3 linked regions of the Caenorhabditis elegans genome follow. The protein of the gene in region 1 purifies or fractionates together with the protein of each later gene. This does not show direct contact. Each region holds a gene or a part of one and is shown on either strand. Other genes may lie near its edges.

Region 1 (3,755 bases):
ACATTAAAACTGCTCGCCGGAGCCAATCTCAACTTCTTGTACAAATCCGGTGACGATCCGGCAATCAATTGATAGAAAATGTGGTAGTTTCTTTCTCCGGCAGCTTGACGGCAGACTCTCGATGTTTCCAGCAAATAGTGAGACACAAATCCACCGGCGACAGTTCCCTGGAAATTGTGGTTGTTGGTGGCCGAGTTTTTGAAATTTTTCACGGCCACATGGCCATCACTTGGGAAAAGCTTACATTATCAGAAAAGTGAATCTGCACAAATTTTCCGAATCGACTCGAATTGTTGTTGCGCAGAGTTTTGGCATTTCCAAAGGCTTCCAGGATTGGGTTGGCTGAAAATTTTAAATTTATTTTAGATCTTGAGCTTCAGCATAAATTATGGAAATTATCGATTTCTGTTTAAAAAAGTGAACATTTATGGTGCCAGACTGTCTCATCCATGGTTTGATCTACACAAAATGCGGGAATTTTTTGCCCAAAAATATATGACGTCAGAGCGTTCTTAACCAAAAGCGAAATCAGATGAGATGTCTGCGTTTCTGCTCCCGCATTTTTTGTAGATCAACGTAGATCAAGCCAAAATAAGACACTCTGACACCTTCCATCCATTTCTACGGGAAAAAATTCCCGGTTACTGCAAACGCGCTCTATTTCGAATTTTCCAAAAGTTCAAATTAATAATACTTTCAAGAAGTCTCTGCTGAATTGGTCCGGCGTCGGTTCCCCAGTTTTCACAGAGGTACTTCAACACTGCTTTCTGTGATTCAGTCTTTCCGGCTCCAGACTCTCCAGACACAATAATCGATTGGGACGTCTTGATACGACGCATCTCTCGATAGGCCTTGTCGGCGATCGCAAAAATGTGCGGCTCCATCTGACCGAGCGATTTTCCACGGTATTCTTTAATCGTTTCAGGAGAATAGAGTCCATCGATCAGTTGGTAGGGGTTGATTGAGATCAGAATGTTTGCCACGTAGGTCTGAAAAAGCCAAATAAAATAAAATATTAAAAAAAAAAAAAACAAAAAGATTTGACCCAGGCAGGGCTCGAACCTGCAATCTTCTGATTAGAAGTCAGACGCCTTATCCATTAGGCCACAAGGCCACGGAACAGACGCGCCGGAGAGACCTACATAAAGACGCTGACAAAACCAGCGGGGTGTCTCGCACACAGCCGTGCACATAAACACTCCACAGGCGGCCGGCAAGCTGTGCGCGTTTGGTCTAGTGGTTAGCGAGCTACTCTTTTGTACACAAGACCGGGGTTCGATTCCACATGCTTGCTCCATACTTACATAGATTTTGCCATTTGCATAACGCAAACGACAATTGTTGAGCAGTGTCGCCTCATTCAAGTGCACTAGAGCGCAATTGTCCTCGACCGACTTCTGCGGATCCTCCTCACAGGCCCATGTGTCCTCATAGCGACGATTCACAGTTTCCGACGTCTTTTCAGTGGCCAATGTGAAGCCGTTTTCCGCGATATCTGTGATACGGGCGGCCACAAAGCCCTCTGCTTCATCCGAAATCCACACGAGACGCCCGAAATCCGCGGTACTATGTGTGCTACTATCCATTGCTTCTTTTTTCTGCAAATACGCTCTATTGGACAGGGCGTGGTGAGTGGGCGAGAAGAGAGAGAGAGAGCCCAGACGACGAGAACATTGACTTACCACGTGCAAAATTGTTGTTTATGCAGGGAGAAAAACGGTAATGATTGAAATTTGAACTAAACGGTTTGGTTTCGATTTTCGGAAAATGCACGTGACAAAAAGGTTGCCCTGTGGCACGTGGAAACGTCGATAAAACATTTAAAATTAAAATTTATTGATTTTTCCTCAATGTCTCAAATTTAAAATGAAAAAGTCGATTTTCAGGCTTAAAACTTTGAAAACTACAGTAACCGAAGTTTAAAGGGGCATGCTTGTAATTTATCGATTTTCCTTAAATTTTTCAAAATTGGAATTAAAAAACACGGATTTCTGGCTTGAAATGGAAGAGTTGCCGAACTAGGCCATATGGGCTCGGCCATATCTGGGGTAGATTTACGGCGCGTTGCGTGTCGCGTCGCGGCTCGATTTTAGTTGTAAAACTAAATCTATTTGTCCGTGTGGAGTACGCGACACTTTCCCACGCGTTGTCCGTCAGGAGATTGTCAATGGAGCGCGAAAAATTCAATGAGAGTAAAGCCAGAAACCCGTGAAAAAATTGATTTCCAGACTTAAAACTTTAAAAATTACAGTACCCAAAATATAAAAAAGCATGTACGTTTCTAATGAAACAAATTGAGGGTTTCTCGATTTTTCGAACATGTTTATAAAAATTCTTATCGATTAAAATTTAAAGACGTACATGTCTGAAATCATTCGATTTCTGTGAAGTTTATTGGTTTTTTTTTTCGGAAAAATATACAGTACTCCATTTTTAAAGGCGCACAACGGTTTCAAAAATTTATCAATTTTCGTTAATATTATTATATAATTTTTCGCGCTCCATTGACAATCGCCTGCCGGGCGGGAAAGTCGTGTACTCCACACGGACAAATAAATTTAGTTTTACAACTAAAATCGAGCCGCGACGCGACACGCAACGCGCCGTAAATCTACTGATCCAAAATGGCCTAGTTCGGCAAAAACTCTCCCATTTCAATTTATGAGGGAAGCCAGAAATCCTAAAAATTTGAAACTCAAACGCGTTCCGTGGCCGCGGAAAGAGAAAACACCGGCCACAAACATTTTTTTCTCCAAAAAGGCCGTTTTCCTTACAACTTTTGCCTATAAATAAGGCGAAAAGTATCAAATTTCAGAATTTATGAAATATTCACCAAAAAGAGCCCGAAATTGTGCAAATATAAAGCCGCCCCACTCGAGACTGAATAGGTAAATGTGTATAACAATTAATATATTACTTTTATGAAACTAATCTCCCCTACAAAATAAACAAAACACAATTCGCTCCGCAGGGGCCCAATTCAATGGGAAAACAGTCTCGGACAATTGTTTGTGGGGGGAAACTATCGTGGAATTGAGGTCAAAAGAGACAGTGGATTTGCCGAAAAAGTTTATGATGTGGCAGTTTAGACATGTCTATTACCTGAAAATTGCGCGGAATTACACCAAGCGCGCTCTATTGCGCGCCCACAACTCGACGCGAAATTGCAGAAAATACGAATTTTTAGATTTTTTGTTTTTAGGTCTCGAAGCGAGGAGTTTAACTGCTTTTTTTCCAAATTATAGCCAGATTCACGGATTTCTGGCTTCCCTCGTAAATTGAAATGGAAGAGTTTGCCAAACTAGGCCATGTTGGCTCAATAGATTTACGGTGCGTTGCGTGTCGCGTCGCGGCTCGATTTTAGTTGTAAAACTAAATGAATTTGTCCGTGTGGAGAACACGACTTTCCCAGTCCGGCGGGCGATTGTCAATGGAGCGCGAAAATTCAATGAGGAAGCCCAGAACCCCGTGCAGATTTAAATCGCATTTCCGCGGAAATTTCCGGAAAAAAATCTTGATCTGATCGAAAAATTGCAATATTCATGAATTTTGATCGTATTTTCGAGTTATTTCTGGACTTTCAGCCGCCTTTAGTCAAAAACTTTCAAAAAATCAAACATCGCGTCGAGACCCATTATTGTTCAGTAGAGCGCATTTGCATACACCGGCAGAAAACAAGCTCGCGCATAATAGCCAACAAAATCCGAATAAAAAGGGCGAATTTCCGCTTTCTTCCAAAAAAAAAAAACGCAGCC
Region 2 (3,755 bases), on another chromosome or scaffold:
TGATTGGCATCAACCGCTTTGAAACCTAGAAAGTGATATGATCCCGGGTTTCCAATTCCTGGTTAAAATATTTAGTGGGCACTTTCTTAGCCACAATTATGATAAATTCTTTGGTTTCTTATTGAAACTAAGCAGTTCTAGTAAGAAACCAATGTGAAATAATAAAAACCAAAAACTTCAATTCAAATATTTCATTCAAAACATTCAAATCTCTTTTTTCCAAAATGCTCATCTTTGTCTCATCATACTCGTCGATTTAAACGTCTAAGCCGTTGCCGACATTGGAATTGTAATGGTTCCAGCTGGAGTGATGGCAGCAAACGCAGCTTGGGCATCAGTTGCATCAGCCGGAGCAGCGGCAAAGTGAACAACAAGCTTGTCTTCTTTTGGTGCTCCAGCAGTACGAGTGATTGTGATGTCCTTTGAACCAGATGGATCAACGAATCCGAATACCGGAGTGATGCGGTATTCGTTGTTGTTTGAAGACTTGATCTTGAAGATCATCTTCTCAGCTCCAGCATTAACAAGTTTGTGGGTGGAAGCACCTCCAGCAGCTGGAACAGTGCACGCTGGTGGATCGGCCGTCAGAGACATCTTTTTGAAACTTTATGTTAAAGTTGTATAAACTGAACATATTACCCTTATTTATAGCAGTCGTTATCAAGATGAACCAGTGACCTTTCGTGAACTTTTGATTTTAAATATTTTTGTAAATTTAAAAAGGTTTGTTAATATCAACTGTCTGCTCCCTTTTGAAAATATAGTTTTTTAAAAGTTATTTACGCTCTCGAGAAGACGTGGAAGAGGTTAAGGAAAAAATAAAAATATAGAAAAAAAAATATTTTTGTAAATTTAAAAAAGTTTTTTTTTCCGATGTATGTAAGGATAAAAATAAATAAGTCATTAAATATATTTTTCTATAACATGAAAAATTCACCGCTAACTGGCGTCAACTAACAATGACGTGTTTAGTTGGAATGTCAATTTCAAAGGTTCGGAATTACTTGAGTTGTGGACTAATAGACACTAAAGAATAACTTTGAGATACGCGATTTTTGCCAAAAACAGAATGTCCACCTTCGGCACGACTAATTTTGAATTTTCGAATAACTTATTTTCATATATTTCGCCTAACAAAACATTTTTGTATGTAACAGAAATGTGTCGTGTGGAGACCAGATGTATTTATGGAGCAAAACTTTGCACATGATTGTAAATAATAAATCAGTGATTTAAAAAATCAATTTTAAATCAAAATGCGGAGAAATGGGCGGTAGGCAGCCAGGTAGGCACGTGGGCCTCAAGAACATTTTGTTTTTTCTTCTCAACATATTTTTTTGTCAGATAATTTAAAATTTATTTATTACAGTTACGATTGTTTATTGTACATGCATGAAACTCCTAACAATGCTTCTAATGTTTTGCGAGTTTTGAACGATGGCTTCTCACTTATTGGAACGTATGTTTTCAGTTCATTACTCAAATGAAGTAAAGGATCATATAGCTAACTAGAAGTTCTAAATTTTACATCCTTCACTTTGTTCGGCTCCTCCGATGAGTACATCACCCTCTTTGAGCTTATGAACAGCAGGAGTCTAATATTTTCGCCACAGACTTCTGAGATTTACGATTATACACGTCCCCGGGTCCCGACACGAGTGAAACGTTTCATCAAGCCTATACTTTGCCAAAAAAAAAATTTTTTTTAATAAGAAGTATCAAAATCACGGTAAGTATCAAGAAAATCATGCAAAGTCAAAGATCAAAGAACCCTGGATTTTGAGGCAAAAATCTATACATTTTTTCCGAATTACAATTTTACTTGTTACACGTGTTTGAGTTTAAAAACAGGTAAAAAAAGAAAGCATATACATGAATAAATAGAAACGAAAAAATATTCTAAAGTTATATTTTTTAATGAACTTGCTCAGCGTGGAACCCCACTTTGGTTGGCATCCAAGCTCCGCCCACATCAATGTCTATAAATAATCAATTTTCTGGTAAATCCTTCATTCATCGATTTACTCGACTTACAACAACTAATTACAACTAACTCTTCGCAATGCAAGGACAAGGAGCCCCATGCCGCCGTTCTAGGTATGCATTTCATGAGCCCGAGTCTCAGATCTCAGGTTACCATGAATATTTCAGAAGCCGATCAAGATCTCGTGGAGCCTTCAATCGTCGCTCCAACTATGGAGAAGCTCATCCAATTCAGCCTGCCGTTTTAGCTTCAATTGTCGAAGAACCATCATCTTCAATCATGCCAGTGGTGAACCCATTGATGGTTGCAGCAAAAGAGCTCAAATTTCCCTGCCAGTTGGCTCATGGATCTCCAGTTGCAATCATTGACAAATGGAACGATATGGAGGAATTGTACCAATCAATTGCTGATTTCTTTGCAATCTCAAAAGACGATATCATTTTCCTGACGGTTAATGATTTCAAGGCAAGCTTTGATACTTTAATTCCTCTAATTCGAAATATTTTCAGCCAGACATGAAGAACATGTTCAGTGGAACACTCAACTTCAAGGATATGCTCTTTGCACACGTTCGCGGACAAGCAACTGAGCTCCGAATGGTCAAAGACGCCAACGTCTTTGGAGTGACAGTCACTGACAACGGACTCGGAAATGCATTTATCAAGGTCATAAGCCCAGGTTCGGTGTTCGATCGTATGCGTCCAGCAACACAAGTTGGTCAACTCATTGAGGCGATTAATGGAGAGTCTGTGCTCGGTAAAAGACATTACCAAGTTGCTCGTATGTTGAAAAGTATTCGTCGCGGCGAGGAATGTATCATTCGATTGATTGCTCCAAAGAGTGCGGATCCAGGAACTATGAAGATGACTAGGAAAACTGGCGGAGATTTAGCAAAAGGAACCATTCGTTTCAAATCGGAAGGTGGATTTGCTGTTGAAGATATTCAAGATCAGATGATCCAGGCTGAGATGTGCGGGAAACTCAACGAACTGTTCGACCAATATTTGGGAGTTCAAGATGATCAATTGGCCATGAGAATATGGGAAACTGCCTCAAACTGCGAGACACTTTGGCAACTCAGTGAAGCCATCAAACAGTCGGAGCTCTCAATGTTCGAGTTCCCGGATGGATTGGTATTCGACATGTGGGGAATTATTGGTGATTTGAAACGCGAACAACGTGAGAAAAAGCCAATGCCAGTCATGAAGAATGCTATTTCAAGACCATCGGCTATGAAACTCTTTGACTAACTTGTATTGTCAAATAAATTATTTTTCTTGTCCTAGCTGAATTTAATTGTTTCTAAATCAATTTACTATATATAAAGCGCGTGTCGTTCCGTCACTATGTAGTTTGATCTCTGATCATTTTGGGAAACCTTATGCTAAATACGCAGCAGACATCGATCGAGGTCCGCGATAGACACCGTACATCTAATGTGCTTTCTCAAAAAAGTCGAGGGCCGCGCCGTAGGTGCTAGATTTCAACTTGCAATTGTATTCTCTCCAACAAGAATCGGCATTCTAGAGGTTTCCAATGATTTTATTTTGATGAAACGCTACAGTACTCCTTTTATACAATTGACCAGCCGCTGACCGCGCCTCCGGCGCGGCCAACGACTGGCGAAATTTGAAATGTTTGACACATCCCTGAATTCATTAGGTTTTTCTATAAAAAAAAGTAAGCAGAATTTGTTTCCCTGCTGCATGTGTTTAAGTTTTTTCGAATATGCTGAAAGATTAAATTTTGAAAACCATCACACCACAACCTT
Region 3 (3,755 bases), on another chromosome or scaffold:
TTGAAGACTTGATCTTGAAGATCATCTTCTCAGCTCCAGCATTGACAAGTTTGTGGGTGGAAGCACCTCCCGCAGCTGGGACAGTGCATGCTGGCGGATCGGCCGTCAGAGACATCTTTTGAAACTTTTTGTTAAAGTTGTATAAATTGAACAAATCAATCGTATTTATAGCAACTCTTATCAAGATGTACCAGTGACCTCACGTGAACTTTCGAGTTTAAACATTTTCGAAAATTTTGAAAAGGTTTTTTGGTGTTATGAATAAAATATAAAAAATTTATAGAAAAAATTCATTTCCACAATGACGTGTTCAGTTGGAATGATTGGTCAATTTTCAAGGTTTGGAATAGTTTGTGTTAATGGGCATTATGTTGGGGTATTTCAAGGCTTAACATTTAGATAGCCAGCGTATGTCATGATGTATTGTGTAGGCATAAAATGCCTGCTTGATTTCCTACAAGAAAACCTAGATCTATTGTGTACCAACCCGCAAAAGCTCTCTTTTGTAGTAGGCGAAAGGTAGGCATGTGTGCCTTGAGACAAAGCTGTTGCTTTCTTCTCAGGATTTGTTCCATATTCTTAAGAATTAGAAGCTTTTGTGAGAAAATTTAAAGAGTGTAAACTTCTATCAAACTTCTCTTTTTTCAGTTACGCAATATGCAGCCCAAACTTATGGATGATTGTTGCTTGTACATGCATGACACTCCTTACAATGCTTATGACGTTATATATGAATTGCGGGTTTCGAAGGAATGTACGATGGCTGAAGTTCACTGAGTGGAAGGTTTGTGTTCATTAGATCAGATTGTTAGTGCAGGTTCAACGTATCTTCCTTTTCGGGCCCTGCCTAAATATTTCATCCGACCGAGGCGTAATGATCATTGATGATCACGTAATCGCCATCCTCTTGCAATAGGCGCCTTCCGGTCGAGAGGGGTGAGCGTGAATTGTGAAGCTCACTTCTATTCATATTTCAGCTCCAGCAACTCGCCGAACGTCTCCGCATTCAAGAGCCAAATGTAGGTCTTCTTATGCAAGTAACCAGAAAAGTGAATGATAAGAAGAACAGTGATAAGAAAGAATTCGACTTTTTCAACAATCGAGATCAAAATAACAATATCGCAGGAGCATTGAATGAAGTGGCAAGTAAGACAAGTAATGGCTCAATGGGATCAACGGATGTAGTTGCTGCTCAAATCAGAAAGGCGAGAGATGAAGACGTAGAGAAAGTGTTGCGGGAGAGTAATATGGATATTCTTACTCCTGATGTGTATGTTTTAAGTTTGAATTTTCTGAAAATGATTATATTTTCAGCCAACCCACTCAACCAAGCACTGGAGGATCTCAGAAAATTCTGAAAAAGTGGACAGGAGCAACAATAGATCTCTTCTCGAAAGATGAGGATGAGAATGAAGGGAAAGGAAAAAAGGAAAGAAAAAATAAAATTGATCGAACTCAAGAGGATTGATTTTTAATAAAGATTTTTCATTAAAAAATTCCCATTGGGTTTCAATATAAGAATTTCCTGCACCATAGTTATGGCCCAGGAGCCAGCCAGAAGTATAGTCACAAAGCGTATTATCAGGTCTATCAGTATTCATAGAGAGTATTCATACTTCTGGTTTTTTTTGTCGCTACTTGGGCTGATATTTCAGTTTCACAAGATACATTCCCAACCATCACTATTCAAAAGTCGACGGGGCTCCTGCTCGGAAAAGTTTGACAAAAGAAACCCAGGATAAAAAGAACTGCTTCAAATAAATGATTTCAAATAGTTAAAATCACAAAAAACTAGATATCAATTTTAAATCGCTCGGCTCCTCCGATGAGCACATAATCCTTTTTGAGCTCATGAAGAGTCCGCAGCCAATATTTTTAGGGCAAGTCTTACGGGTACGGTAGTTGAACAATTAACTCGTGTTAAGATCTGGAAATTGCCTCGATATTGAGCAAAAATCGAGAGAATTGTTTGCGATTTACTTTAGTTATACGTGTTACAGTTTTAAAACAAAATGAAGAAAAACACGAAAATTAATAAAATTCGAAAGTTATATTTTTAATGAACTTCCTCAGCGTGGCACTCTAATTTGGTTGGCATCTAAGCTCCGCCCACATCAATGCCTATAAAAGATCAGTTTCTTGATAAAATGATTCATTCATCGATTTAACACCAACTCACTTCAACTAGTACAACTACTAACATTCTCCACAATGCAAGGACAAGGATCACCATTCTGCCGTTCTAGGTATGTATTACATGAGCCCGAGTCTTATGTCTCAAGTTACCATGAATATTTTAGAACCCGCTCGAGATCTCGTGGAGCTTTCAATCGTAGCTCCAACCACGGTTCAGTGCTTCCAATTCAGCCTGCCGTATTGGATTCAATTGCCGAGGAATCATCGTCTACTATCATGACAGTAGTCAATCCTTTGATGGTGGCAGCAAGACAGCTCAAATTTGCTTGCCAGATGGCTCATGGAAGTCCAGTTGGAATCATCGACAAATGGAACAATATGGAGGAATTGTATCAATCAATTGCCGATTGCTTTACAATTTCAAAAGATGATATCATTTTCCTGACAGTCAATGATTTTAAGGTTAGTTTTGACATAAATAAGTCAAATTCTTATTCTAAATATTTCAGCCAGACATGAAGAACATGTTCACTGGAACACTGAACTTCAAGGATATGCTCTTCGCCCACATTCGCGGACAAGCAACCGAGCTCCGAGTCGTCAAAGATGCTAAAAACTTTGGAGTGACAATCACGGACAACGGACTCGGGAATGCATTTATCAAGGTCATAAGCCCAGATTCGGTGTTTGATCGTATGCGTCCAGCCACTCAAGTTGGTCAACTCATTGAGGCGGTCAATGGAGAATGTGTGCTCGGGAAAAGGCATTACCAAGTTGCCCGAATTTTGAAAAATGTTCGTCGCGGCGAGGAATGCGTGGTTCGATTGATTGCTCCAAAGACTGCTGATCCAGGAACCATGAAGACGACTGGAAAAACTGGCGGAGGTCTGGCAAAAGGAACCATTCGTTTCAAATCGGAAGGCGGATTTGCTGTTGAGGATGTTCAAGATCAGATGATCCAAGCTGAGATGTGCGGAAAGCTCAATGAGATATTCGACCAATACTTGGGAGTTCAAGATGATCAGCTGGCCATGAGAATCTGGGAAACTGCTTCAAACTGCGAGACGCTTTTGCAACTCAGTGAAGCCATCAAAGAGTCGGAGCTCTCAATGTTCGATTTCCCGGATGGAATGGTTTTCGATATGTGGGGAATCATCGGTGATTTGAAGCGGGAGCAACGTGAGAAGAAGCCATCCCCAGTCATGAAGAATGCGATTTCAAGACCATCGGCTATGAAACTCTTTGAGTAACTTTTACTGTGGAATAAATTATTTTAATCTCCGAACTGTCTTAAATTGGTTTAAAGTATATCCCACTAACTTTTCAAATTTATTCGATTCACAAGACTTGAAAAACACTCTTTCCGCTGCTTAGTTCGATTGTTTCATTCAGCACATCTTATTCTCCAACAGGCATCCGCATTTCATAAGCCTCTAGAAAATCATAGCATTCATCGATTCCCAGTTTAAATGCTGTTTAAATGAAGCTTCAAATTTATTTTATTTTTCTTTTGTCAAAATGTTTATTTTAAAACAGCGTTTTGTCAAAAGTATGTATTCAATTTTATGCTTTCCCATTGGTTTCTCATTGGAGCTCTCGAGCTCCAAATGTCCGTTACA

Evidence for each region.
Region 2: the proteins of spe-15 (region 1) and gipc-2 purify together in Caenorhabditis elegans (affinity purification with western blotting, with the first as the bait; one study listed by BioGRID). This does not show direct contact.
Region 3: the proteins of spe-15 (region 1) and gipc-1 purify together in Caenorhabditis elegans (affinity purification with western blotting, with the first as the bait; one study listed by BioGRID). This does not show direct contact.

What each region holds. Positions count from the first base shown.
Region 1 is NC_003279.8:1,444,497-1,448,251, reverse strand, and holds the start of spe-15 (Myosin motor domain-containing protein), read right to left. Parts: upstream 1,756-3,755; 5' UTR 1,683-1,755; intron 1,599-1,682; 5' UTR 1,587-1,598; coding exon 1,305-1,586; intron 1,118-1,304; exon of another isoform or gene 1,018-1,117; intron 990-1,017; coding exon 695-989; intron 343-694; coding exon 245-342; intron 168-244; coding exon 3-167; intron 1-2.
Region 2 is NC_003282.8:10,025,922-10,029,676, reverse strand, and holds gipc-2 (PDZ domain-containing protein), read left to right. Parts: upstream 1-2,010; 5' UTR 2,011-2,062; coding exon 2,063-2,097; intron 2,098-2,151; coding exon 2,152-2,449; intron 2,450-2,493; coding exon 2,494-3,234; 3' UTR 3,235-3,264; downstream 3,265-3,755. Other genes in the region: msd-2 (MSP domain-containing protein), read right to left, coding at 265-594.
Region 3 is NC_003281.10:4,868,629-4,872,383, forward strand, and holds gipc-1 (PDZ domain-containing protein), read left to right. Parts: upstream 1-2,149; 5' UTR 2,150-2,211; coding exon 2,212-2,246; intron 2,247-2,300; coding exon 2,301-2,598; intron 2,599-2,645; coding exon 2,646-3,386; 3' UTR 3,387-3,633; downstream 3,634-3,755. Other genes in the region: msd-4 (MSP domain-containing protein), read right to left, coding at 1-115; C35D10.3 (uncharacterized protein), read left to right, coding at 302-339, 649-784, 978-1,270, 1,315-1,468.